Coturnix japonica: one gene and its partners. The protein of the gene in region 2 interacts with the protein of the main gene of each other region in a pairwise test. Links are inferred from orthologs where the notes say so. Each region holds a gene or a part of one and is shown on either strand. Other genes may lie near its edges.

Evidence for each region.
Region 1: the proteins of CEP70 (region 2) and RHPN1 interact in binary tests that used the Homo sapiens proteins (3 or more experiments, as listed by UniProt). The two-hybrid records come from large-scale screens. The link is inferred for Coturnix japonica from reciprocal best matches to the Homo sapiens genes CEP70 and RHPN1.
Region 3: the proteins of CEP70 (region 2) and KAT7 interact in a two-hybrid assay, tested with the Homo sapiens proteins (2 studies listed by BioGRID and IntAct). The two-hybrid records come from large-scale screens. The link is inferred for Coturnix japonica from reciprocal best matches to the Homo sapiens genes CEP70 and KAT7.
Region 4: the proteins of CEP70 (region 2) and KANSL1 interact in binary tests that used the Homo sapiens proteins (3 or more experiments, as listed by UniProt). The two-hybrid records come from large-scale screens. The link is inferred for Coturnix japonica from reciprocal best matches to the Homo sapiens genes CEP70 and KANSL1.
Region 5: the proteins of CEP70 (region 2) and MFAP1 interact in binary tests that used the Homo sapiens proteins (3 or more experiments, as listed by UniProt). The two-hybrid records come from large-scale screens. The link is inferred for Coturnix japonica from reciprocal best matches to the Homo sapiens genes CEP70 and MFAP1.
Region 6: the proteins of CEP70 (region 2) and TAF1D interact in binary tests that used the Homo sapiens proteins (3 or more experiments, as listed by UniProt). The link is inferred for Coturnix japonica from reciprocal best matches to the Homo sapiens genes CEP70 and TAF1D.
Region 7: the proteins of CEP70 (region 2) and AKAP17A interact in binary tests that used the Homo sapiens proteins (3 or more experiments, as listed by UniProt). The two-hybrid records come from large-scale screens. The link is inferred for Coturnix japonica from reciprocal best matches to the Homo sapiens genes CEP70 and AKAP17A.

What each region holds. Positions count from the first base shown.
Region 1 is NC_029517.1:133,709,870-133,713,369, reverse strand, and holds part of RHPN1 (rhophilin-1), read right to left. Parts: intron 877-3,500; coding exon 748-876; intron 1-747. UniProt on the Homo sapiens protein: Has no enzymatic activity. May serve as a target for Rho, and interact with some cytoskeletal component upon Rho binding or relay a Rho signal to other molecules.
Region 2 is NC_029522.1:18,779,387-18,782,761, forward strand, and holds the end of CEP70 (centrosomal protein of 70 kDa), read right to left. Parts: intron 3,173-3,375; coding exon 3,004-3,172; intron 2,218-3,003; coding exon 2,103-2,217; intron 1,213-2,102; coding exon 1,100-1,212; intron 708-1,099; coding exon 646-707; 3' UTR 501-645; downstream 1-500.
Region 3 is NC_029542.1:2,708,597-2,712,542, forward strand, and holds the start of KAT7 (histone acetyltransferase KAT7), read right to left. Parts: upstream 2,801-3,946; 5' UTR 2,589-2,800; coding exon 2,574-2,588; intron 1,279-2,573; coding exon 1,131-1,278; intron 331-1,130; coding exon 154-330; intron 1-153. UniProt on the Homo sapiens protein: Catalytic subunit of histone acetyltransferase HBO1 complexes, which specifically mediate acetylation of histone H3 at 'Lys-14' (H3K14ac), thereby regulating various processes, such as gene transcription, protein ubiquitination, immune regulation, stem cell pluripotent and self-renewal maintenance and embryonic development.
Region 4 is NC_029542.1:2,310,763-2,314,972, reverse strand, and holds the start of KANSL1 (KAT8 regulatory NSL complex subunit 1), read right to left. Parts: upstream 2,801-4,210; 5' UTR 2,616-2,800; intron 1-2,615. UniProt on the Homo sapiens protein: Non-catalytic component of the NSL histone acetyltransferase complex, a multiprotein complex that mediates histone H4 acetylation at 'Lys-5'- and 'Lys-8' (H4K5ac and H4K8ac) at transcription start sites and promotes transcription initiation.
Region 5 is NC_029525.1:18,263,637-18,267,789, reverse strand, and holds the start of MFAP1 (microfibrillar-associated protein 1), read right to left. Parts: upstream 2,801-4,153; 5' UTR 2,694-2,800; coding exon 2,615-2,693; intron 2,378-2,614; coding exon 2,158-2,377; intron 1,946-2,157; coding exon 1,816-1,945; intron 1,502-1,815; coding exon 1,314-1,501; intron 946-1,313; coding exon 837-945; intron 764-836; coding exon 603-763; intron 361-602; coding exon 201-360; intron 1-200. UniProt on the Homo sapiens protein: Involved in pre-mRNA splicing as a component of the spliceosome.
Region 6 is NC_029516.1:166,172,905-166,177,039, reverse strand, and holds the start of TAF1D (TATA box-binding protein-associated factor RNA polymerase I subunit D), read right to left. Parts: upstream 2,801-4,135; 5' UTR 2,691-2,800; intron 2,371-2,690; 5' UTR 2,358-2,370; coding exon 2,131-2,357; intron 2,046-2,130; coding exon 1,589-2,045; intron 1,462-1,588; coding exon 1,286-1,461; intron 868-1,285; coding exon 807-867; intron 492-806; coding exon 378-491; 3' UTR 1-377. UniProt on the Homo sapiens protein: Component of the transcription factor SL1/TIF-IB complex, which is involved in the assembly of the PIC (preinitiation complex) during RNA polymerase I-dependent transcription.
Region 7 is NC_029516.1:116,242,508-116,246,705, forward strand, and holds the start of AKAP17A (A-kinase anchor protein 17A), read right to left. Parts: upstream 2,801-4,198; 5' UTR 2,676-2,800; exon of another isoform or gene 2,511-2,675; 5' UTR 2,095-2,510; coding exon 1,333-2,094; intron 1-1,332. UniProt on the Homo sapiens protein: Splice factor regulating alternative splice site selection for certain mRNA precursors. Mediates regulation of pre-mRNA splicing in a PKA-dependent manner.

The DNA of each region.
Region 1 (3,500 bases), on a different chromosome or scaffold from region 2:
GTTTCCTTTTTGAACCAAAACAAACACTTGGGCATAGCTCAGGGAGGATGCCTGCAATCCTGGGAGTCCAAACTGCAATCTCCCATCACCATCCCGCTGTTGGGAAAGAGGGAAAACATCCAGGGTAGTGAAGGTTATTGATGACCACAGGTGGAGCCTCCTCAACCCTCCTCTTCTCTCTGCAACCCTAATGCAACACTCACACATCCAGATTGTCCTTGCTCTGCACTTAGCAGCAGTGCAGCAAACAGAAGGGAGTCAGTGATGCTGCCTGCAGCACTTTGTGCCCCCAGAAGCAGAACAACCTCCTCAAAGGAGGACAAGACAATGAGCAAAGCACATGGATTTATGGACACCATCCAGATGTTTTGGACTAACTTCTGTAGCTCCAGGTTGCTGCAGCATCCCTGGCCTTTTCTGCCTTTGTGATTTCTGCTTTTCTCACCTCCTTGAAATGGCTTTAATGAGTGAAGCGTGAGGTGACTGGGTGTGCATTTCAAAGCGACAGAACTTCTCAATTAGCAAAAGGTCTAACCTCAGAAAGAGGGGGAAAAACCTAATACCCTTGGATAGGAAAAGAAACCAGCCGAAGATCAGCTAGAACAAGAGACTGGGTACAGTTTTAATTACTTAAATATCCCACTGGAAACCATCATGCTCTAGAAGGATGCTCAGGACAAGGAGAGCCAATCTATCCCATGCCCCGGTCTTCTATTCTCCAGCCAACCCCCAAGCAAAACCTACTACCTGTCATTCTGGTAGACATCCATGCAGCTATTCAGCTCTTCCAGCTCCTCCTTCAGCAGCTGCAGGTTGGAGTTCACGTAACTCAGTTCCAACGCAACCGTTTCCTTGACCTTGTGGTTACTGGTGGCTCTGCAAGATAACACTGCATGGATCAAATCTCCCTGTAAAAGCCTGGTTGAGTTGAAGAACAGCAACTAAATAAACCTAGAGCAACGTATATGACTCTCAAGAAGTATTGCTCATGAGCTTCATCCACGCTCCCATCTCCAGCACATCTTTGGCTTTGGTTATAAGCACTCAGGTGTCTGCCCACACCAAACAAAAGCTTTGTTTCATGCTTAGACCTCCACTTAAAACAGAACTTCCCTGTGTGTGCAAATAACCATTCTGCAAGAGCCAGGTTTGCCATGCTCACCCATTAGCAGCACTCTCCCCTCCCTTCCCCCTCATGCATGTCAAGAGATGTAAACACCAAGGATTGATTTCAGCTGCAGCAAGCTGCCTGCTCTCAGCAAAGCAAACTCCCAGGCTGATTATACCCTCCTTATCTGCTCCAAACTAAAGCAGGGAGAGATAACCCAGCAGCCAAGCAAAGCCAATGGCGAGCAATTGTTGACTCTCTGAAAGGGACTCTCTGGCTGCTTACCCTAAATCACACCAAGCCCCACTGGGATGCAGTAAAAACACCATGTGTATGAGCTCTGTTCAGCCCCAGATTTTGCAGAACACATTGCTTTTGTTTATTATTGGCATCATCCATCAGGGCCTTTGCTCTGACCTGACGAGCTATGCTGATTTTCTTTCAAGATGATGGCTCTTTAGTCTCCTCCTCTGCACCTCCAAGACAGTTTTGCTTGCTCTCAGATTTAGAATGAACATTTTTAACCCTGGACCGCTTCATTCTGCATCCTGCAAGTGCTTTTTGCAGCACAGAACCTCTCAGAGAGGCCATTTTTAAGAGCAAGCAATTGTGTATCAGTAGCACAAGGAGCAAACATATGCTGGTAAAGGCTTTGGTATTTTCATGCTGGGCATTGATCTCTATAAGAGCACACAAAGTGGAATTATCAGCTGTTTGCTTAATGTTGAACAAAGATTTCTGAGTTATTTAAAAAGAATTGGTTCACTGGCAACACCTTTATCTTCACTGCACCCCAGTATTTGAACAAGGAAAGAGTTTCCACTGCTGATTTACTTACCCAGCAAGAAGAAAAATACACAAAAAAAAACCCTACAGCCCCATAATGCTGAGCAAACACTGTGTGCATTTTTAACCAACGTGCCATTCATGGCAGCTTCTCCAGGGAAGGGAACTGAACAGCTTAGGAAACTGCACTGAGATTTATGGTGGCTTTTTGAAACCAAGAACGGAGAGGAATTGCAAACTTCACTAAAGGCTGAGTTGTTCTTTGCATTTTGCATAGATTTGTTAGGTCAGGGCAAGTCAAGTCTAAAAAGGTTGTTGCTCAGAATTTATTATGATCTTCCCCTCTCAGCCTTTAATTTAAGGCACAGCCTTCATTTTCTTCCCCTCAACGTTTACAAACTCCAAAAGCCCACCCCCAAAACCACATATCAGCTGTAAACTCGACTAGAGGGAAGGTGGGAGGAAGGAAACATCATTGCTATTAAAGCACATCCAAAGCGCTGATCCAGCCAAAAAAGGGCCCCATCAGTGCATTTTGCCTCTGCCCTGCAGGAAAACAATCCCTCCCTTCCCTGGACAAGTAATTAATACGGCTTTTGCATCATAGTTTTGCTCACTCCCTGGTGAGGGAGGAGGTAGAACAGCTCTGATGCACACTTTTCCACACCAAAACCACAGCTGGGCACATTTGCTGCTGAGGCTGCATATTTTAAGGGAATTTCTTTTTCTCTTCATAACAAAAGGTGAAGCACGTGGAGTGGCACGTGGAGGTCTCACAGACGTTTTAATTAGGTGAGTTATGGTCCTTCAGGGCTTCATACCTCGCTGTCCCCAGGATCCCATCTTCCAGGGGATCCCTGCTGTTCTCAGCCACCTGTTAAACTCTATTACTTGCTGTGGTAGAACACTGATAGCTGCTTTCTTTCAGCTGTACATATCACTGACATCAAATCACCCCAATCCAACAAGAAAAAGTCTGCTTTATTGGAGAGGGTGGGAGGAACAACACTAAAAAAATCACATGATAACCATGAAAAAAAGCAGTCTTCGTAAAAGAAAAATATCTTAACAAGCCCACACACCTGTTCATATTTATTACAGGAACTTGATACACACTCTACAGCTATAAAGAAGGTCATCTACAGGTTAGAAAGGCAGTAGATGTCCTATTTTTTTTTTTTTTAGACATTAGGCTATTGCATCATGACTTCATCACGACCCCTCTTTAGGAATGGCAATAATGTGCTGAACCAGCTGTGACCTGAATGCCATGCAGAAACAGCAGTTTTTGTGCCATCCCACAAAGGCACCCTAGTAGCAGGATGGAGAGCTGCTGGGCTGTGTCTGTATGCAAAGGAATGCTTGAGTATCCCAACAGATTTTCCTTGGGTGGAATTACTGGGACAGCTTTTCTCTTTTAAATAAAGCTGGATTTGACCCACTTACTGGGGGGTATCATGCAGGATGTCTGCACTCAGAGCTCAATCCCAATTCAACATTAGTTTCCATAATTGCATCCATTCCCAGTCTGCTTTCTAACAGGCTTGCAGGGCATTAGAAACAACCACTTGTCATTAACCCCCACTGCATCAGCACAGCACTGAAC
Region 2 (3,375 bases):
CTTGGTGTACTTGTTTGTTTACAATAAACTCTGACATGTCTTGCTTAAGGAACTTTATCTATGCCCTTCTAAAAGTGATGGTAGAATATAAGCGTGGTAACTTCAAATCCCTTCTAGGCAAAAAGCTGTAAACCATGTTCTGATGTAGGCTTAAAATGTGTTCAGCCTAGATTACATTAATGTGGTGTGTTTCAATCCATAACCAAAAAAAAAATAAACCTAGCTGAAGATCTAAACAGCATTTTAAAATAGGCTCTCAAGACGACCAAGGTAATGATGAAAGTATTACATCTATAGGGCACTCTGAGCAACGTCATCTCATACCTGCTGATGAGCTACATTCAGAAAGGTAAGTGCCTTTGTGGTCTTTGCTTTTGTGTTGGCTTCAGTTTCCTATATCAGTACGGTATGTATTGGTCCTCTCTCCAGGACAGAACAGGTTATTGTGGTTATTTTTCTTGTTTCGTGGTCAGTGTAAGAATGCAGAGAAACTAAAAGAATGAAGTGGCAAAGCCAAACTTTTATTTATATTAAAAAGTCTGAAACTGTTCATTAGTAACAGAGGTTAGAGGTAGCTGTAATGACATGTGAACCAACAAGGCTGCCTCACAGGTTAAGTCTTCCCAGGATAGATCAAACTATCCCTTAACTAGCTACCAATTTCAGCTTTCGTACAGTAGGTAAAATATCATCCAGGTTATTGATCTCTGAAACAGAATGAAAAGCAGAATTGTATGAGTTGTATATAAAACACTTTAAAGTTCAATCATAATTCTAGCTTAAGTGTTAGAAATACGGCCAGTGAGCAAAAAAACTACTGCAGAGAATAAACTCCTCAAACCTCTTCATGCTTTTGGGGGAAGAAAAACGTTATTTTAGCTTATAAGTTTTATGGTTGAATGTAAATGACCCCATTTTTCAATGAAAACTTCATTATTTCAGTAGCTTTCTTAGCAGAGCAAGGTAAGGCTTAGCACCTTTTCTCACAATTTCCTTGTGTTTTTTTGCACACCAGGAGTAAACAAAGTGTGTTAGCTATTTAACAGCCTGGGAGGGAGCTCTGCCATGGAGATAATTACAGCATGGAAATGTTACTCACCTAGAAGAGAGAGCAAATCTTGAATGAGGGCTTGAAACGGTGGAAAGAAGCATTCATGTTCTTCTAGCTTATTGATGATACTGAGATTTGAAAGTAAGACCGTTACTGCAAAACTATAAGAACATATTAAGTTCGTTTTCTTGGCTTTTTTGCCATACAGTGTCACTGCTTTCTGAAACTACTGTTACTTAGTATATACAAATACACCTGCACCAAAAACGCATCCTCATGTACTGAAACCTGAAGCCAACAATTGTTAAAAGTCAGATTATTTTTGATTTCACTGTTTCTGCCCAATATATTTTCCTCCTTATACAGTGCTGTGTAATTTTTGGTCTGGAGCAGCAGCCTGTATATGCTAAATATATCAGCAACCCAGGTAGTATAAGAGCTAGAGGTGGAGGCAAGAACATTATAAGCAGCTTGTCTATAGTTAAAACTGCATGGAGCACTGAAAGGTTGATGGTGTCACCGTTGTTCACTTTGCCTGTTACAAATTTACTGCTGCAGTTAATCTCTTTGTACACTTGTACAGCACATTCTGAATGCAAGCTCTTACAACTTGCTACCACCTCTGTGTTCTCATTTGTTGATGATTTGTCCAGCTCTCGAAAGATTTTCAGGAAGCTTGAGGTGTACGTTCTCTCAGCAGCTAATACATTTCAATATTACAGTCGCAACCTTGAAGTAGTTTCGCATCCCCACCAACATACAGCACTTGCTATGTCTCCTTATGAAACATAAGCTTAAGAGGCTTTTTTGATCACTGTATCCATGCAAATCAACAAGGTAGTGCTAAGGGAACCTTATTTTTTTCTATTTACCAGAAATACCCTTTAGAAAGTGTTCAAGACTTGTTCCATGTAGGATAGTAGTAAATCCTTTACTGTCACAGCACTGTAGCAAAGGACAGAAGTCTCCTCCAGTATCAATTTTAGGCAACTCTGTCAGTTCATAAGATTTCTGTTTGCAGAACTGTTGCCAGTGGAACAGAACTAAATACCTGTGGATGTCTTGTGTCCCCAGGAGCCGCCGTAGTTGTTCAGTCACATTCTCGTTAATTATGTCACACAGTTTCCCAACTGTATCCACCACCATGGTGGGTGGAGCTGAACTATCTGGAAAACACAACTTCATGTTTCTGGTAAGAGTAATAACAGGAAAAGAAGACATAATTCAGTTCTTGCAGGTGCCCAGATTCTATTGAACTTTCATGTATCATAGAGGGAACTGTTTCCTGATATTTTGTTAGTAGCAAGAACTTGCTCTGTTTGCTTGTTTTAACCTGCTTTGGCTACTATGATGAAAGGTAAAAATACCAGGTTCTTTTCCTTTCCTCACTCAGTTTCAGATGAACTAATTGTGAGAAGGTGTCCACTGAACTCCATTGCTTTGTAATTACAAGGGGATGAGAAGCTTCTTCATTTCCTGTTGGTGGTGGCAGGCAGGAAGTCTGCTTCCCTCTTTGAATGAGACTTCAGAAGGCTTCAGTAGTTTAGGAGCCTTGCCCTCTGGCTGTACACCCTGCAGCACAGCCAAGCCTCTAAACCCATGAACTCAGGGAAGATTAGCAGCTGCTGTTCTTCAGAAGTGCAAAACCAGAAGAGAATGAATAGGCACCTGGAAGTGACTACTGGTGGCACTTAGTTCTTGACATTCAATACTTAAAAGAACAAGTAAACATTTAGGATTGTAAAGGGGTGTTCTTAAGGACTGAACATGCTTACCCTGGAATGAGTTACTGAGAAGAAATCTAGAGCAAAGTTTGTTATTCCAAAACAATTTAAAACAAACAAAAAACCTTATGTTTCAATTGATAAAGGAGAATTAGTAAGTAAGTGCTCATAAAACAAAGCTTTTCCTTTGGAAATAGCCTGAACAAGTGGTAGGTGATGAGTCTTTACCTAGTTCCAGGAGCTCATGGAGATTTCTCATAGCATTGGTCAGTTCCCCAAGTTTTGTGTACACCTCATTCATTCGTGGGTAAATGCCATTCAGAGAATTCACATCAAACAGCTTCTGGAAGTGAGAGACTATTGCATACAGTGTTGGTAAGGATGGTGTCTGGCTGTTCTGCAGGAAGCAGAAAGGGTAACTTTACTAAGTTGTTGCTTCTTTTAACCACGAGATGTTCTTAAAACTAGTCCACAAATTAAAACAGGTGTAACTTCCCTTATTAAATTGAGGCATTTTGAATATTCTTAAATCTCAAGAGAGATATCCAGCAAGCCAAAAATACTCTTATGAAAACAATATTCTTTTGGAAGCTTTGTTTT
Region 3 (3,946 bases), on a different chromosome or scaffold from region 2:
CTTTCAAATATATATATATATATGTAAAGCAACTCTGGATAGCTGTCTCAAACCCTCTAACCTGAGGATATCACACTGTGCCCAGAGAATGGAGCCACATATCCTTTCCAATGGCATTTTACAAGCTCTCGACACCTCACTGTGTCTACGTACCTCTGTCAGAGAAGTCAACCACTTGTTCTGTTTCTGATCCAGACGAGCGGGTCTGTCGGAGTGGGTATTTCTTTGGAGTCACAGGAGCAGGCTGCTGCTGGCTGCGGGTCACTCTCCTCGTGGAATAGACTGGTTCTTCTGCTCCAAATGAGGGCGGATTGCGAACTGGGCTGGAATCTAATGTCATAGAAACACCATAATTACACCCACAAGAAGCAATGAATGCCCGTGAGCTGCAACACATGAGCTCTGATGTCTGTAACACCGACATCTGATAGGGTATCAGCACAGGATTCTGTGCAACCATTGCACATCATCACGGAGATACGTTTATATTCTTCTAATTCACTTTTACAAACACACATGGATCTGGTATTACATCCACTTTCTCTGAGATAATAACTTAATGGATTAGGAATTACAAACAGTTCCCATTTAGAAAGTAGTAGCGATTAACTTAGATTACAGCTATCAGCATTTAGAAAACTCTTGAGAATATCAAAGCTGCTCCTGGTATAGAGACACATTTGGGACACCACGTATGGTTTTATATAGACACACTGCTCATAAGGTTATAAAACAGTTTATTCTGCATGAAAACAATGCTTTCATACCCTAGCAGCATTACAGGCATCCCACATACCAACCCAACCCACTTTTCTTCTTGTTTTTGAGGCATGCAAGTAGGTTTTTTACCTACAAGAAAACCCATCACAAAACAACACAGAAGGAACAAACTTATCTACTGCCATTTTCTCCCCTTGAGGCAGCTTAATAACCAAGAGATCAAGGAATTGATATTGTAAAGCTAAAAATCAGGAGGTGGACATAGGCTTCTTCTTTTAAACTGGGCGTAAAGGCAAGCAAAACAAGCCTTGAAAGCACATCTTGACATATATGATTACCTCCCTCTTTTGCTTACCAATATAACTACCAAGGTTAAATCCTCCTGCTTGATGTGTTATGAGGTGCTTTACCTTGGGAGCTCTGGCTGAGCCTGGCTGAGGAGCGGGTGACACGGGCGGACCGTCGTGACGTGGCGTCGCTTTCAGAGCTGTCCGTGTGCTCCGGATCCGTGGAGAAATCCGAGTCTTCTGTTCCATCTGAGCTGCTGCCCGCGTTCCTCTACGACACCATAGACAAGGATATCAGCAGGGATGTGCTTATATACCACATTAAAAACCCATACAGAAAGCATATGATGGATAACATTGAGTGTATGCTGTGATATACCACGTTATAAACCCATACAGAAAGCATATGATAACATTGAGTGTATGCTGTGATGTGCCACCTTATAAACCCATACAGAAAGCATATGATAGATATTGAGTGTATGCTGTGATGTGCCACATTAAAAACCCATACAGAAAGCATATGATAACATTGAGTGTATGCTGTGATGTGCCATGTTATAAACCCATATAGAAAGCATATGATAGATAACATTGAGTTGACACTGTGATGTGTTCAATATATAAATGCCAAGCGTTTCATGGCAGATATAAACCCTTTTGTGTCATTAATAATCATCACCCTGAAGGCCCAGAGGGGTAATGGGGGGGAATAGACGGGGCCTAGCAGGGGATGAGTCAGTTGTACACCACACAGAGCAAACCTGGGCCTGGAAAACAACAGGAGGGAGCACGGTAGGCAACGAAGCTGTGTTCAGCTTAGACCCGAGGCCTGTGTTCAGCTTAGGCCCAGAGGCCTGTGTTCGGTTTAGGCCCAGAGGCCTGTGTTCAGCTTAGGCCGCAAACGAGGCCTGTATAACGACAGCGGCCTTCAGGCTCCGGGCCTGTGAGGAGCGAGTGGCGGCCACTGAGCGCGCACACCGCCCTTAGGCCGCTTTGTTTTGCGCTCTATAGTCTCGGCCAATCATAAAGCGAGTGGGTGGGACCGGAAAGGTGAGCTCGCCAATGAGAGAAGGAGCATGCCGGTAGGGTGTGAGTGACAGCTGGTGGTAGCCAATCAGGGAGAGGTTTGCTCAACCCCCACCGGAGAGGAGTGGGGTGGGGGAGGGGAGGAACGAGGCACGCGCGGGGAGGTGACCGTTGAGAGGTGATGGACAACCGTGGTAGCCAATCAGCGGCCAGCCCAGTGTGACAACCCAGCCAATAGGCGGCCGACTCTTTAACCGTTTGCCCAATGGGAGAAACCGAGAGGAGGGACGCGCTGCAGGCGGAGGGGGAGGAAAAGGGGAACCGTTGGGGGCGATGAGTGACGAGCGGGGCGGCCAATCAGCGCTGCGCGGGTCTCTGCAACAGCCAATAAGCGAGCGAGGGGGGCGGGCGCAGATGTGGGGGTGCTGCAGGCCGCTATTTCCCCCCTATTTTCTCCCCATAACAGTTAAATAGAAAGGAGGGGAAAGATAGAAAGCCACGTCCTGACCCTGCCGCTCCCTCCCCGGCCTCACTCACCTTCCTGCGCGGCATCCTCGGAGGGGGCGGGGGCAGCGATGCTGCTTGTTCCCCGGCTCCCCCGGTTCGTGAAGCGGCGTTGGCCGCCGTGTTGGTGCCGGCGGGCTCCGTGGTGCCGGCCGTATCGCCCGCCCTACGGCCCGTCTGTTCCGCCGCCAGCCCGACTCCCCGCTCGGTCCCTCACGCTTCCGCCGGGACGCGGCCCACACCCCCCTTGTCACGTGACGCCGCGCGAGCCTCACGCCAGCGGGAGCCGCCATCTTTGTTTTTGGCTGTCTAAGAGTGAAGTTGGGGCGGCCATCTTGGTTTTGGGCTCCCCCCCCCCCCAACTCGGCGGGAATCGGGGCTTGCGGCGGCGGCCATGTTGAGTGAGGGAGTGAAGTCTAACGGGTGTTCACAGACACTCCGCGTGGCGCCATGTTGGGGCCGGGCAGAAACGCGCCGTCGGGGTGATGGAGTGATTGATTGGGTGGAGGAGAAAGGCGGTGAGTCCCCGTTCATTTTACGGCGGAGGCGGGGAGCGGCGGCCGGACGGCCCTCCTCGTCAAGGGGTGCTGCCGTCTGCCCTGCGTGCGGTCTTGCACTAGGCCGCGGCTCCTCGCTGTGGCGGGCGGGGCTGGGCGGGCCGTGTAGGCCTGAGGTGGGCCGTGTAGGCCTGAGCCCTGTAGGCCTCTGAGGTTGGGCCCTGTAGGCCTCTGTGGTGTGGGCCCTGTATGTAGGCCTCTGCGGGGTGGGCCCTGTAGGCCCGAGGTGGGCCCCGTAGGCCTCTGAGGTGCGGGCCCCGTAGGCCCGAGGTGGGCCCTATAGGCCTCTGCGGTGTGGGCCCCGCAGGCCTCTGAGGTTGGCTGTGTAGGCCTCAGGTGGGCCCCGTAGGCCTCTGCGGTGTGGGCCCTGCAGGCCTGAGGTGGGCCCTGCAGGCCTGAGCCCTGTAGGCCTCTGAGGTGTGGGCCCTGTAGGCCTGAGGCGCTCTGGGCCTACTCCCTCCTTCCCTCCCTTATACAGATGGGCCTTTGCTGTTGGTTAACCTTTATCTCCTCATCATTTCTATGTGTGTGTATGAACATTTGCCCTTGTGTTTCTCTCCCAGCTCAGCTTGCAACAGGGATGCGATTTTCCCTCAGCCCTGCTGAGAATGAGGGCGTTTGGTTAAACGTGTGATCTGTTTGTATTTAATTTATCTTTAGGGATTATCGAATAATCGCGGTTTAATCCTATAATCCCGGTGCTTTGTGTCACCTTTAGTCATGCAAGTTGCTTTCATTGCTACTTGTTGCTCTTAGGATCTATAGGATGCTGGAAGGGAAACATGGAGGAGTCAAATGGAATGTCTGTTTTTAGCTTAAAAAGAGAGGAATTGGAAGCTGTGTGTGTGC
Region 4 (4,210 bases), on a different chromosome or scaffold from region 2:
GTGAAGGTAACTAACCTCACCACTAAGTCCCTGACGAAGACCTTGGTTTCATCCTGCCAAGATACAGCAGCAGCCCCACGTGTTCTGCACAGAAATCCTAACCTAAAGCCCTGATGGGAAGCTCTGTTTTTACCCATTTAAGGAACACGATGAAGTAGTTTCCAAAGATGAACAGCACGCTGAGTACTCCCAAAAAAGAGCCCCAAATTTCAGTACTTAGTTCATCTGGGGACCAGCCAGCCAGCTTTTATGGGCTCACAGATGGCAAAGCATCCACTTACACCTCTAGTTGTAACCCCTTATCACTTACATCCCCATTCCATTGCCAACAGTATCATCGTGCTGGCTTAGATCCACTCAAAACACAGACGTCAAACTGCACAAGAGGTGCAAGAGAAACCTCAGGTCCCATCACTTTTCTTGGATGTTTGCTTAGGAAACGCTATGATGGCAGAAATTAAGGGCATGGGGGGCTGGAAGGGACATCTAGAGATCACCAGGTCCAACCCTCCTGCTAAAGCAGTAGGTTGCAAGTTATGGAAACCACAATGCTTTGTGCAATGTACAATATACTGCCTCAGAGACTGAATTATATCATGATGTTATTTGTCTTATCTTTCAGTAAAGTGACTGTGCTTCATAGAAGCTGCTGCCCATCCATTGTGAATGCTTTATATCAAGGGAAAAGTGATCTTGCATTAACCACGAGGAGCCCACACCTCATAAAGCCAGGAGATGCAGGGTGAGTTTGGGGACAATGCTTGCACATCTCAGTACTCATCTTTGTGTTCCCACTGAGGAGTGACATCCAGCATTGCTGTGCTACAGACAAATCCATCTGGGAGTTTTCATGTACGAAAATCAATCAGAAGAACTAGAAAGGGTGAGTTTGGAACCTCAATTCCCAGCAAACACAGTGTGTGCTGCACAAAGGACTGGGACAGGAGGAAGCAGCTCAGCCCCTCTCCCTTCCACTTGAAGTTCTTCATGTACATCCCTTTATCCTGAGCAAGAAAACCCCCAACCCACATTTAGGGCTCCCAGGATCCCTCCATGGAATTGCCTTGCACCAACAGGTCTTTGAGCCCTGGGTGCTTCACAAGCCTGAGCCCAATCCACCTGCCTTCAAACCCTCAGCCATGCAGGGAAATGTCAGATATCACCAGCAGGAAGAGTCAGACCCCTCCGTGCTCTCCTTATTGAGGATGTTTCCCATAGCAAGGCTCAGCTGCTGGCAGCGAGGGGAACACAGCAGGGCAGGGTTTGCAGCTCTCCCACCATTGCGAGAGGTGAAGGAGCAAGCAGACACAGCATTGTGCACCCAGAAACCCCCCCTTCCTCTCTCTGGAGCTGCAGGTAAAGAGCTGTGTGAAAACTTACAAGCTACAATGGAGCTTTCTTCTCTGATGAAGAAGACCCGCAGACTTCAACAGCAGGATTAGGTGCCTGAGACTGAGCACACACCAGGAGCACAGGACATAGAAGTGGTTGAACACTCACTGGTCAAAGGCTCAACGCTGCTGACACAGGAACAGAAAGCTCAAAGAAATGAAGGTCAACCAGACCCTCTGCAGTGCCTCCAAGCAGAAGCACTGAGCAGCCTCAGCCATCAGCACAGAGATGTTTCTCCAGCTCCTCTGGCACTGCAGTCACCCTCCTGCACCCCATTCCCCACCTGCCCTGCTGGGGGGAGCAGCCCCAATGCTTTGCTACTCAGATCTATGCTGTGACTAACACACACAGCTCACGGGGCACACAGCATCGCCATCAAACTCCATGCAGCCACGTGCTGAGCCCTGCTTGGCCAACAGCTCACTGTAGAAGCGAGGACTGATCCCAGACGAGCCCCTTGCTGGCTTCCTATGAACAGGAGCCACAGGAACCTGGGAGAAGTTCAGCCATAACCTCCTAAACTTACAGGCTTCTTTATTCCCAAGGCCCACACAACAACCCACAGTTACTTTATACACACGCACTAAGAGCCTCCAGTGTTGTGTCAGCCAATGGAGCTCAGATACCACAGCAGGTTTGTCTAATATCAGCGTGAAAGGACAGAGAAATGATTTCTGCTTCACCCACAGCAAAAGAACTTCTCTACATTCAGGAAACCAAACCCACCAGAGCCGCCCAACGGGGGCACACAGAGCTGCGGGTATCAGCAACACACAGCAGGATGGAGGCAGGAGGAGCCAAGCGGTGTAAACCCAACGAGGAGCCGGCGGTGTGAGCAGGTGATGTGAGTGAGCAGGTGGTGATGTGAGGATGCAGGTGATGTGAGGATGCAGGGCACGAGGAAGCGGCACGGATCGGCCTTTTCCTGGCCCCACAGCCCCGGGTGCTGCCCCAACACGGAGGTGACACCGGGAATCACCCACGCGCTGCCAGCGCCGCCCACACGGGCCGGACCCAGCCCGGCACCTCCGGCTCCGAATCACGGCGCTCCATAAGGAGCCGGGATGGGGATGGCGGCCGTGTCGAGCCCCGACGGGAAGCGGCCCGGAGCCCGGACGGCACAGCCGGCATTGGGGGCAGCCGGCATTGGGGCACACGGCGTTGGGGCAGGTTCCGCTGTCGGCCCTGAGCGTCCCCCCGACCCCGCGCGGATTGAGCCGTACCTGGCAGCCCATGTCGGCGGGGCCCATGGTCCGGGCGGTCACCGCTCTTCAAGTTACCGACGAAGCGCGGCCGGGAGGAGCCGGGAGATGATCCGGGAGCTGCGGGGAGAAGCGGCCGCGCTCAGCGGAAGGGACCGTTGGCCCCGCACCGACCCCGCAGCCCAGGCCCGTCCCGAGGGCGCAGCGGGGCCCGAGCTGTTGCGATGCGATGCGATGCGATGCGGGGGGACCGTCGCAGCCCCGGGCCTCCTTCACGCCCCGCCGTCCATCCGTCCGCCCCCCCCAGGCCCGGGATGTGCCCTCGCTCCCCGTGGCCGCAATTCAGGCCCTGTCGGACGGACCCCCCGCCCCGCACCGACCCCCCCCGCAGCGCTGAGCCCACCCCGCGCCCTACGGCCCCTCCTGTCCCGCCCCCCCCCCCCGTTCCACGTTCTCCCTCCCAGCCGCGGCCCGCAACACGCAGCCCAAGTTGCGGGACGAGGCGGGACGAGGCGGGACGAGGCCGGACCCCCCGCGCACCCCCCGTGTCCCGCATCACCTCCGACCCCGACCCCCCCCCATCCCGACCCGGCCGTCCCGCACCGGCAGCGCCTCGCCCGCACCTACCTGCGCCGCTCAACCAGCCTTGAAGTGGGGACCTTCCGCCCTCCCCCGTCCCCATTGGCCGACAGCGGGGCATGCGCCCGTCCCATTGGTCCGCGCCGCGTCAATCAGCGCCGAGGGGGCGGGGCCGGGCGGTGATTGATGCGGGGCCGCCACTCGCCCCCCGCTGCGGGGCCGGGACCCCCGAGGGCGCCCCCGCCCGGAGCCCAACACGCAGCACCCGCCCCGCACCGCAACCCGCCCCGCGACACGGGACAACGCGAACCTCGGCCCGGGGGGTCCCGGCCTTCACACAACGAGGGGCGGCCCGGAGCCGGGCGGGGGGCGCGGGGCAGCGCGGGGCAGCGGGTGCGGGGGGTCGCGGTGGTGCCGCCCTGTGCGGGGCGCGGTGCGGAGGGAGCAGCGGCACCGGGCTGTGTGCGCCGAGTGTCCCGCAGGGCTGCGGCCGGCCCCGGTGTGCGGTGACAGCTGGGCCCCGCACCGGGATGACGCCGGGTCCCGCATGGCCGGGAGCTCCAGCCCCGCGTCCCGCACGCAGCGCCGCGTCCCGCAGCCGGAGCCAGGCCCGTGTCCCAGCGCGGGGTGCACCAGGCCTGTGAATGAAGCTGGTGGCACAGCCGGGTCCTATGGGTGACACCCAGCCCTTATAGGGCACAGGGGGCACCGCAAACAGCCCACGGGTGGCACCAAACCCACGGCCCGCAGCTGACAGCAGCACACACAGCACAGGGGACACTGCGCCCACATCCCACCAGTGACCACGGGGCTGTAACCCCACTGGGGCCACAAAGCCTGTGTCCTATAGGTGACAGCAGGCCCAAAGCACACTAAGTCCTCATATAACAGGGACATAAAGCCCAGCAACCCCCTGGTGACACCACAGCCATCCCCCATAGGGATACACTACGCCAGTGTGTGTACACACTACGCTGTGGTGTAAGTGACACCACAATCATATCCTATAGGAGACACTGTGCCCATCTTGCAGGAAA
Region 5 (4,153 bases), on a different chromosome or scaffold from region 2:
GCATTCGTGTCTTTACTCACCCTGCCTGCCAGACCTGACAGGCACCTCAGATCCCCTCAGTCACTTCAGCAGCACGCTGCTGTTGAGGGCCAGCTCTGGTCCTGTGTGCTTGGCCAGCCCTTACTTGGGTACCACTAGGGAAAACTCCCCCAAAACAGCCACGTGGTCCACGCAGCCCCAGGCCTGGCAGCAGAACTCACCATGAAGAAGGCGCCACGGTGGTAGTACTTCTGCAGGAACTTGTATTTGCCCTTCACTGCCTTGTTGGTGATGACTTTGCCGTTGGCTCGCAGCTCGGCACGGCGCTCCTCCTCTGTCAGGTTCCTCATCCGCTCGATCTCTGCCTTCTCTTTCTCCATGCTGGGCAAAAGAGAAACCCTGAGCCCCTGCATCCCTCAGTGCCCTCCCAAGATGGGACAGCTGCTGCCACCCGGGACTTTCTGACGAATACGTTGACTGACTCCATAATGGAGTAAAGCACCTCAAGAAAATTCCTGATGCTGCCAAAACAAAGACTGAGAAAGAGACGCCTCAACTGCCCGCTGTCCTGCAGGGCCTGGGACTGCAGGGACCCTCCCCTGCCTTAAGCAGACAGTACTTACGCTTCTCGTTCTTCACGATCCCGTTTGATGCGCTTCAGCTCACGTACTTTCCAAGCCTCGTACTCCTCCTCATCATTCTCATCGTCTGTATCGAGAGCATCAAGTGCTGCCAACGAGCGCTTATTCTCTTCCAGCTCCTTCTTTGCCTCCTCTTCCACGATCTGAAGCCAAGACCAAGCTCAGCTCACTGCAATGGCTGCCCCAACATGCATGCCCCAGTCTGCCCCGCTGTACCTTGAGTGTGTACTTGCGCCTCTCTTCTGCTAATCTCTTTGCCTCCTGTTCTAGCTCCTTCTGCTTCAAGGCTTCTGCTTCTCGCTCCTGAACTGTGATCCGGTCCTTCCTGTGAGCAGGGACCACAAAAGCCTTCAGCCTTTCAACATGCCACTGCAGACCTCTGCTCCCACTGCAGCCTCTTTTAGTCTTTATGCCCCCCACGGCAGGGCCAAGTCCCAAGGCTCTCTCCTTTCTGATTTTGCTCATTCAAGAGCGACCATACTCAGTCTCCTCACATCTGCAGACATGCACAAAGGTGATGGGAGACCCTGCTACTGGCTGTGGAACATGTTGGAGCACACTACCTGGTTTCTGTTGTGCTGTACCTGCCTAAAGTCCCCAGTTGGAAGTACCCAGCCATGCCCTACCAGGTCAGTCACTGCCCATCCCTGATGCAGTGCTTGGCCCATGCAGCTGTATCACCTTATCACCTACTTGCGGATGAAGACAGGTTTGAGACGTGGCTCCATTTCATCCTCGCTGTCTGTGTACTCCTCGTACTCAGACTCTGACTCAGACTCTTCTCCAGATCTGCCCTCATCTTCCAGCTCCATCACTTCCAGCTCCTCAGTTTTTCTCTCCTGCGCTCTCTGACGCATCATCCCACGCCGACGCTCGATCTCCTAATGGAGACACATCAAACACAGACTCAGCCAACCAGCCCCACTATCGCTTCCTTCCTTTTTCCATATAAAAAGCATGATGTTGAGCTTATATGATATGATGTTGACTGCTTATATAAGCCCACACCTCAGAACGCAGGTGACCTCCCTGGTGCCCCATAACCCACAGGCTGTGGTCACACCACAGCTGGCTTTAACTCAGGTCCCAACATCCACCCAGTCTCACCACAGTTCACGTGTGTCTGCAAGCACGAATTCCAGACAGGGCCTAAGGGGACTTTCCCAGGCCACATCTGCTCAGCAATATAACGAACCTCATCATCGATCTCTTCCTCTTCCTCTTCACTGGTGTCCTCTCTCTCCACACGCCACGCTTCACCTTCTACCTCAGAATCACTCTCTCCGACCACTTCAGGCTCCACAATTTTGCGGTGTCTTGCCAGCCTGCAACAAATGTCCACTCGACTACGAAGCTCTGAACACAAGGAGACTAAAGAAGAGAAATCTTTGCGATCTGTTTCTAATGAGACCGTAGTCAGACCCGGGACCACGAAGCGTGTGAAGGAAAGAGGCATCCCCTGCGTGCTCAGGAGCCCGGAAACACAAAGCTGGGGGGGAGCACGAGGAGGGAGCAGAGCCCGGAGCCGAGCACTCACCGCTCCTCCACGTCCTCAGTGATGCGGTTCTGCAGCCGCCGCAGCCGCGGGTCGTTGGCGACCTCCTCCTCCTGCTCCTCGGGCTCCACCTCCTGCTCCTTCGCCTTCTTGATGAACTGGAACTCCTCGTCCTCCTCCTCCGAGGATTCCATGGGCGCGTAGTCGGGCCGCTTCCCCGACACGTACCGCTTCACCTTCACCTTCTCCATAGACAGCTCGCCTGCGGGAGGGGGGGGAACAGCAGCGGGAGGAACAGCAGCGGGAAGCCATGAGCAGCCGGGCCATGAGCAGGGCGCCATGGGCAGCCGGGCCATGAACAGCCGTGAGCAGCCATGGGCAGCCATGGGCAGCCGGGCCATGAGCAGGGCGCCATGGGCAGCCATGTGCATTCATGCCATGAACATTCACGCCGCCGCCGTGCCCGCGCCCCCCGCCCCTCCCGGCGCCCCGCACTCACCCTTCTCATTGCGGACGGGCACGGCGCCCGCCGTGGACTGGATGGGCGGCTGCTTCACGAGAGCGCTGGGGGCCGACATGGCGGCGGGACGGGACGGGACGAACCGCAGCCGCTCACAGCACCGACCGACCGACAGACCGACAGACCGACCGCTCACCCGGAACTGCAACTCCCGCTTCCGCCGGCGTACCGGAAGTGAACGCGCGCCGAACCGTCGCAAGCCGCCGGAAGTGACGCTCAGCGTGGAGGTCATTTCCGGCTCCTGTGGCCGGATGTGGAGCTGGTTTCGGCCCGGTCCGGTCGCGGTGCAGCGGCGGTTCCCCTCAGGGCTCGGTTCCCCTCAGGGCTCAGATCGGCCCCGCTGTGATCTCTCCGCTCATCGCTTCGGGGCTCGGGAGTGGTGACGTGCTGCGGAGCCGGCCGCACGTAGCCCCGGCCCGCGCCGGGTCCCTGCCCGGGATTCCCGGGGCCGGCTGCCGAGTCCTGCCCCTGCTGCTCGTGTGGCTGCGGCTGGAGGCTGCGCTCAGTGTCGGTGCTGAATACCGGGTTACCATCGGTGCTGAATACCGGGTTACCATCGGTGCTGAATACCGGGTTACATCGGTGCTGAATACGGGTTACCACGGTGCTGAAACGGGTTGCCCATCGGTGCTTGGAATGCCCGGGTTACCATCGTGCTGAATGCGCGGCGTACCTCGGTGCTGAATTTACCGGTTACCATCGCTCTGCAGGGCTCTCCCCGGGCTGTCCCCCGCCCTCTGGCTGCCAGGACTTTCCCGCAGCACCGGCCCAGGGCAGAGGGAATTACCCGCAGGAGCAGCCCCTACATGGAAGCGGGCAGGTTTCCTGCCCCAGCTGTTGCTGCTCACGTCAGAGCCCTTCACACACCAGTTGGGTTTCGCAGGAAAGCAGCCCAGCGCCAACTCGTAGCAGCTGCCCACGCGGTAGCAGCCAACCACAGGAGATAAGATTTCTCTTGAAGCCAGGAAAAACTGGGTCACCAGCCACCACAACCGCGTCTGCAGCGCTGCGGTGCCTCCCCAAAAGAAGGGAAGAGGTTTTATCTTCCGGGAAATCAGCACGGGGGTGCCAGGCAGTGAGACCTGCTCCTGGGGACTGACCTCAGCATTCCCTTGTGCTGGCAGGGTGGGTCCCCTGGGCACAACAGCTCCTGGGTAAGCCTGACCCTGCTGGTGCTGTGGCAGGAGAAGAGCTGCCACTGAGCAGGCCCAGGCAGAGCTTTTGGCCGCTCCAGGGTCCCTGTGATTCTGCTGTGCGTGCAGCCAGACCCCAGTGCTGCAGTTGTCCCGCTGCCTCGGGCACTGGTGGCTTTGTGCTCCTGCAGCAGCAGTGCTTGGGGGTAGGCAAGTCCTTCCTGGTGTTCCTGGCCTTGATGTCCCGATGACAATTAGAGCTCTGTGCCCAGCTCCTGCTCCGCTCCCAGTCATCAGCTGAGATATCAATTTTGTGTGGTTATCACAGCGTGTTCCTACCTAATGGTTCCCGTGTCACCATGGCAAGGAGCGAGCTTCAATGTAT
Region 6 (4,135 bases), on a different chromosome or scaffold from region 2:
ATGAGCAGGACTCCACACCCACCTCACTGCATTACCCTGCCAGAACCCCACTCCTACATCTAGTCTGAGCAACCGCAACAAGTTCCCATTCATGCTACAAGATCAGCAGATAGTCCCTGTTGTGCTGAAGGGCTTCTATCTCTGCTCAGTCACCTTCGTAAGACCCCACTCTGGACTGAGGAGGGGAAGAAGGGAATAGAACTTTTCATCACACTGCTAGTTGTTTTAAAGCAGCTTGAGATTATGATATTGGATTTAGGAGAATTAGTTTATTCTACACTGCTTAATTACAAGAGCTGGAACTCTTAGTCCTGTAGCTCTGTGACCTGCTGGTTCCACAAGCCAGGCTGCGGAAGGTGCTATTTCAGCAGGATCACTTAGCAGCAGCATTCTTCTTCAATCACTCCAGCTGACTTTGCTCGCTTTGTTTTGGCCTTTGATTTCTTCTTCTTGTTGGGAATTTTGCTGCTTATAATGAAACAGCTTTTGTCCTGAGAACAAAAAAAAACAGCATTCTCAAGTCTGGTTTGGAGACACTTGAAGTACCAATTTATTACTAACTTCCTTTAGGAAGTTTTATGGACGCTTCAGAGAACTGCCCAATTTCCGCACATCCCAACATAATTCCAAAGAGCTCAGACTTCTCTCAAACCAATTTCCTCTTGTACTACACACCAAAACCACACAAACTGGTTAATTCCAGATCCAAGCTCAAGAATTAAGTACTCAAAGCATCATCTGTTACTTATTTAACACCTCAAAAGAGAAAACAGGTTATAGTTTTCAAATTATGGATGTTTACTCACCACTACTCTGACATCAAAGTCTTCTGGATTATCAGAGCCCAAGCAGTTATCATCGTCATTGCTGAAAGGCAGGAAATTCAAATCAAATCTGTACTTCTACAGTAGCGCAGCATAAACAAGCTGTTCTCCTAATGCAGCACCACTTCCTCATAATGCATATGGAAACGCTACAGCTTACAGGTCTGGGATGCTCCCACTTCTACATGAGGCTACACTGAGAGCCTGTGGAACAAGATCCTTATCTAAAGCCATGAGCTGTTACTTATTTTCTCTCTCTGCTCTTTTAAGGATGAGGAGAGAGCACACAACACAGCAGTGCTAAGCCAACAGAATCCATTACTGAGTTACAGAAAAATCCAAGAGGTATTTCACCAATTAATATAATGCACGTGCCAGACAATAAAGACAGCAATGCTGAACACACAGACTTTAAGTTGAGAACAAAACAGCAACTTTTATACTACTGAAAATGAACTTACTTTGTCTCCTGGATAGGAGAAATGGGGCCTTTGTCATCTAAATATTTATGTTTCCGCGCTGTCAGACATTCCCTTTCTAAGTCTTCATTTGCTTCAAGGGATTTCAAAGCCTTTTTGAGGTGTTCTTCAGCTTTAAGCATTTCAACATACTGGAAATATCCCTTCGCAGCTGCTTGCTGCAAAAAAAAGGAATAGATCTTAAATACAAACAAAGAAATGAACCATTTATATAATCAACCAGACTGTAACATTAAATGACAGCCTTAGGTCAGCTGGTTCTCTCCCACAAAACACAGGGCTCACCTCATAGCTAAGAACCATATTTACGGGAATATGTTTCCTCCCATAATGTTTTTCAACAAAAGGGAACTGAAAGCCTGGATCCCGAAGCCTTCTCCTTCGCTCCTGAGGCGGGGCTGTCATGGGCCGATTCCCACCACGCTTCTTTGGGGGTTCCGAGCGTCTCTTTGTCTTCCGTGAAACACCGCTCCTGTATCTTCGGTGCGCAGCAGTTTTAAACTTCCTTCCTCTGAAGTGATAGGCAAAAATGGCTTTCAAATCGAGCTTGGATTTCCTCCTTTGGGAGGGTTCAGGTGGCCTCACCGGGCTCTCAGGGAGCAAAGAGTCAGGACTTTCACCATCAGACACTCGTGCATCAGCTCCTGCTTGTTTCCTTGAAGGCTGCGATCTCCTCTTTTGCTCCGCAGAGGGAGCAGTGCATTTCCTAGAGCGTTTGCTGCCCCGAGCAGCTGAAACATCACTGAAAAAGAAACGTGTACATTCAACAGAGCACATACGTTTATGAGTCTTGTTCGTAAGTGATTCTAAGGAACCAGGTAACTCACATTTCTGAATCGCTGCTATCCACCTCAGATGAAGATGTATTTGTACTACTAGTCTCATCTGAAGACTCCTCAGGAGTGGCGTCCTTCTGCCTCGAGCACAAACGTCTCTTCCTTGCATTCACTGCACGCTCAGGTATTTTAGATCTTTTTCGCCTCTGAGTGGATACGAGACTCTGAGCATCAGGATCATCAGAACAAGAGGTGTGGGATTCATCTGTATCACTCATGTTTTAATCTGCCCTGAAAGAAATTAAATATGTTTTACCCCAGGCAAAGCTTTTCACATCCAAGGAACGTATGTGTCTCCCTCACAGTAGCCCCCTCCCGCCCACCATCCCGGGGCGGACATTTTGCGCGGTTCCCGCCGCTCTACCACAGCCCCGGGCCGCCATGAGGAGCCCATTTCCCACATCCCACCCGCCCCAGGGCCTTCCTTGCGCTCCGTCTAGGAATCGCTCAGCGACAGGATGTGCTTTGATTCTACCCCAGCCTCACAGCGGGTCCTCACACGGCGGATGGCAGCGGATTCAGCGCACCGCCATCACCAACCCAACACTCACCTCACGCTTCACCTCCGGAAAGGGCGCGCAATGGCCGCCCCCGAGCTTAAATAGCGCTCGGCTCTCGCGAGAGCAGGACGGGGCGGGGAGTGCCGTGAGGGGGGCGGGGATGGGCGGCCGCAGGTTGTGGGCATTGGCTGCGGTTCCCGCTCGCTGTGGGTCTCCAGAGGGTGGCTCCTGCAGGTTTGGCTCCGGGACTCTTTTTAGACTCTTTTTACCCTCGTTTACGTGGCCTGAATTTCCCTTCTCGCTTCTCTGCTGAGTTCATCTGCACGTTGGCGCTGTCCCTGTTGGCTCTGTGGCTCTGGCTGTGCTTCCTTCTCCCCCCAGCCCCCCGCTATGAAGCGTTTCTATCCAGCCATTAACTTCTCCTTTCCGTTTTCTGCCCTTTCCTGCTTGGAAAAGAAAAGCCGCAGTGTCTCGACGTGTCGGTTGTTTCCTGCCATCCCGTTTGCAGCGTTCCTGTGACAGCTTCCTTCACAGAAGGGAGAATCGCCCATAGAAGCGGACGAGCCCCCAGCTAAGATGGAAATCACTCTACATAGACAGCTTGCTTTCTTGCTCTATTGCTTGTTACAGGCAGAACTTGAGGTAGCTGAACTTTGAGCTCAAAGTCTCGCTTTTTCTTCCATGAAAGGTTCCTATTTTGTTACGTGCAGCAGGCGTGTGCCTAAGGAGTTAATGATTTCTGGGGCTGGTTTATAGGTAGCATGTAACCAGCTGCTTGTGCCTGGAGCTGCTGGTTTGCCCTCGTAGCAGGTTATGCTGTTGCATGACTGAAATATAGCTCGTTTCAAAAGAAGCTCCAACATTTCTGTTCTGAACAAAGCTTGCTGTGAAAGGCTCTGAGCTGATATAGAGTCCAGTGCTGTACAACTTGCTGCTGCTTTGGTGCCTTTGTTTGGCTTTGAGATGCACTACAACCTTCTTCCACTTTGGAAACACGTGCCTATAAGAAACTGGGAGCCAAGGTTGAAAGTCCATCATAGCCAATGCTGGAAAAGTAAACATTAAGGTAGTGAAGACCGGGTAAGGCAGTTATTGTGCTTAGAAAAGCGTGGCTTTGGGTTTACAAAGGACAGATAACTGACCTGTCCCTTGAATTAGGTTCAGCGTATTACATATTTTGTCTGTACTGAGATGGAAGTTTGAGGACTAACAGATGTAATGCTCTGAAGCAGCTGCAGAGCTGGTAGGCACACCTGCTTCCAAAGCACATAGAATCATAAAATCACCAAGGTTAGAAAAGACCTGAAAGATTATTCAGTACAACCATCCACATATTACTAATAGCTGCCACTAAACCACTAATAGCTGCCACTAAACCATGAGAAAACACTAATCTTGAAGCTGTCAGTTTTTCCCTCAATGGTATAATAACAATTCTACTGTTATCTATGTATTCTCGGGTGAATTTGACAGATAAATTGCATATTGAAAGCAGT
Region 7 (4,198 bases), on a different chromosome or scaffold from region 2:
TCTGTAACACAAGCCACTGTACTTTGGAAGACACGAACCATGGAGCACAGAACAAGGCATACATACTGTGCAGTTTAATTTGTTCAGACAACATAAAAGTAATGCTTCAATAAAAGCCCTGTAGAAACAGAGTTGGGCAGTCTGGTGACCTTGCATGAAAGCGATCTGTCTTGACAGCACAGACACAGCCTTCTCTCTTGCTATCAATCCCAGGGCAGCTGCTAGGAAGGCATGCGTTCTCTTGCACAGAGAAACTAAATTTGGGAACCTCAATCCACTGCATGCAAGTGACAGTTTGAATTTCACATCCCCTTGAGAATAGGAGGGCATACGAACAGCAATGTCTGTGCTTCAGCTGACCAACTTTAATAACAAGATAATAAGTGTCTAACTTACAACTTAATCAATTAATATTTGAATGCTCCCAAATTACATAAATACTTCAGCTTTTTCCCGAAATCTACTTGCTGACTTGATGAATGAAAATTAAGCGTGCTGAAATAAATAAGCAATTCAACCATTATGTAAATACACAGACAAGTCCCCAAATATATCACAACAAGCTTTCCTTAAGCCATACTTGCACAGATATAACATCTGGAGAGACCGACTTGTTCCACATCATCTCCCATCAATAACTTTACTTCCTACGACAATGAAGTAACAGAGAAAGCAATTTGGAGAAGTCGGTATGTAAATATTATGAATACAACACACTGGATTCACAGAAAACGTATGGAATAAGCTAAGTATTGTTTCAATGTTTGAATGGCCTTTCTGTTCACAAAGTACACTAATCACTATTAACTCTCTATTCCACAGGCCATCCAGGCCACATAGCATTGCCTCACAGTTCCGACACTTGACAGATAGATCTCCTTATCAGCAGAGGTATCAAATATAACGGCTGTCACTCTTCCCAGAATTCCTAATTGTTACTATACATAAAAGAAAATGCACTTTCAATTCAGCCTTAGCGAGTCTGAACTTGCTACAGATTATTTTATAAACTAAATCACAAGACTTGAAAATATACATTACTTTCTAAAATTCAGTTAACAAGTTATGTTCACAATATCTGGTAGTTCCTTAGCTGTTTTTACATCAGTAAATGTTTTGCTTAGGGGGGGAAAAAAGAGAGATAAAAGCCTCACCCCGCTTTGTTTACAGTCTAACAACATGTTTATTCTATCACTTCCCTTTTAAAACTGCATTACAGCTGGTTCCTCAAACCCTACAGTAACATCAGCTGTTCTCAGCACTACAGTAAACAACTGTATGGAATACAGGGGACTACGGAATTCACATTTATCAGTGACAACAACTTCTCACCTTTATATTGCAAGCCACAGCCTTGCCATCATCGCCTTTAAACATCAGTTTCATTCCTCGCAGGGCATTCATGGCTTTAATGAAGCCTGCATACTCCCGATACTGAACGTAAGCCTCAAAATTTAAATGGCCTCCGAAGCTGAATGTGTGAAAGTTTCTGCCAGTCATTTCTTCTCTGTAAGGGTCCAACATGGGTATGTCCACGTTACGTATTTCTCCAAATTTCTGGAAAACTTTTGTCAGGACTTCTTCACTTGGCTTTTCTGAGCCAGAGTCCTTTGCTGCAAACCACTTACAAGGTAAGCCTTCTAGATGAATGGTATCCGGCCTTTCTCCTGGCAAAGTTTCATTCATATCTTTTGCATCACGGAAAAACGAGTCCCAGTCGTGCCTGGTAGGAAAGTCAATCTTGTATTCTGCGGCACGGACTTTTAAGATGTCGGAGAAGCCACTCAGTTTGATCGTTTTTCCATCAAGGCACGCAAGAAAAGACTTGACTAAACTTTTGTTTTCAACCTCTCCTTCGAACCGGATGAAATCCATCGTGCTTTTGGAAATCCGCAGAGTGGAAAACTGATGGGTTTGTACCATCCCTTTCAGTCTTTCCATCACTTCCCAGTTCGAGATGGACTTTCCGGGTTGTTTCAGCTGAGGAAGTGCCACACTGATGGTCATTTTTGTAATGGGTTTAAGGTATAACCCACAGGGAGCACAGAGCTCTACGGCTTCTGATGTATCATGAACTATCGTTGCAGCAGCCATAACACAGAAAAAGCACAGGATAAGAAAAAAATAAATAAAGATGCAAGTTTAAAGTTGCAGGCTCACAGTAGTCAAATAAAACAGCCCTTATCCGTAAACATTCTTTGGACATTTAACCATTCCCAACCAACGTCTCTTAAGACAAGAGTCAATTACCGAGTTAAAACCGAGCAGCACAAACATCTTAAATTACTTTACAACCACCAGAACCTACAAATAATTAAAACTCAGCAAGGCCTCAGAAGAAAAGGAGCTGACGGCAATCTCGGGCACACACGAAGCCGGCGAGCTCCCCCGGCTCCGGGGAGGAAGGAACGGGAGCGACCTCAGCCCGCTCCGAACAACAAACGCACCCACAACAAGGAGCGCAGCGGCGGGTGCCTCGTTCGCCGGCAGGAAGGCTCCTCGCCAGCAGCCTGCAACGACACAAAAACACCCCTTTACATAAAGGCCCGCAGCCCCGCCACCGGCCCTCGGCAGCCTCACCCCTACGAACTACGACAGCGTTCCCAATGTCGACACCAGCGGCACCCCAACAGAGTCCGGCGGGGGCACGGCTCCCCGCCCTCTCCCCGCCTCACCCGCAGACCGGGCCGGGCCGGGTGGGACCCCCAGGAAACAGCCTCCAGCCCCGCGAGCAGCCCAGAGGAGCCGCCGCAGCTTCCACAGCAGCTTCCGCTTCCTGGCCGTGCGCGATGGCGGCCTGCGCGGCGGCGGAGCGAGGAGGAGCGGGAGGTGGAGCATGTGGAGCGGGCGGAGGCTGTGGAAGCTGGGCAGTGATGGCTGTGCGGGGCTGTGTTCGCAATGTCTGCGTTCTCTCTCAGAGCATAGTCATAGAATCGTTGGGGTTGGAAAGGACCCACGGGGAAATGGTTTTAAGTTAAAAGAGGGAAGATTTAGGTTGGATGTTAGGGGGAAGTTCTTCACTAGGAGAGTGGTCAGGCCCTGGAACAGGCTGCCCAGGGAGGTTGTGGATGCCCCGTCCTTGGAGGTGTTCAAGACCAGGTTGGACGGGGCCCTGGGCAACCTGATCTAGTAAATGTGTATGTTTGGTGGCCCTGCCAGGCAGAGGGGTTGGAACTACATGATCCTTGAGGTCCCTTCCAGCCCGGGTCTATTTCTATTGCTGCATGCCACCAAAAAGACTCTACCTCCACTGACCTGACTCCTGGACTTCGGGTGAACAGTGATGAGACACCCTCAGAACCTTCTCCAGAGTGAAACACCCCAAGTCTCAACCTTTTCTCATAAGGGAGATGCTCCAGGCACCAGTTATCTTTGTTGCTCTCCACTAGACTCTCTCTAATAGCTCCCTGTCTTTCTTGAATGGAGGAGCCCACAACTGAACACAGCACTCCAGATGTGCCCTCACCAGGCCAGCACATTGTCCATCAGGACACCCAGGTCCTTCTTTGCAGAGCTCCTTTCCAGCAGGTCATATCCTGTCCTGTACTGGTGCATGCAGTTATTCCTCCCTAGGTGCAAGACTATTCACTTGCTCATGTTGAACCCCATCAGGTTCCTCTGCCCAACTCTGCAGCCTGTCCAGCTCTGGTTGAATGGCAGCACAGCCTTCTAGTGTGTCATCCACTCCCCCCAGCTCTACATCATTATACTTTCTGAGGGTAGACTATCCATTCATCCAGATTGCTGACAACTGTTGTACAAGCTTGGACCCAGCACTGACTTGTGGAGAATACCACTAGTTACAGGCCTACAACTAGGCTCTGTGCCATTGATCACAGTGCTCTGACTAATGTCTCCAGGCAGGAGGAGCACCTCCGAAGGAAGACAACCTTTCACTTGCTGCTTTCTGACCTTTCTGACAGCTTGTGGTTTTCCTGAGAATCAACTCAATGTCACGTCTGTGAAAAAACATCACAAAACAACAGGACAGAATTTGTTTGTATAAACAACTAGTGTTATTTAGGATGCTGTGAGATATCCAGGCCACATACATGGGGCTGGACAGTCTCCATAGAGCTTGCATACTGTCAGCTGGAGGCTGTGCTGGGTGACCTGCAGTATTCTGAATGTCGGAAAGCATAGGAGATGGACAGCTGAATTAAGTGCTGCTTTAGGGGCTGTGAGCCCAAGGTTCTGC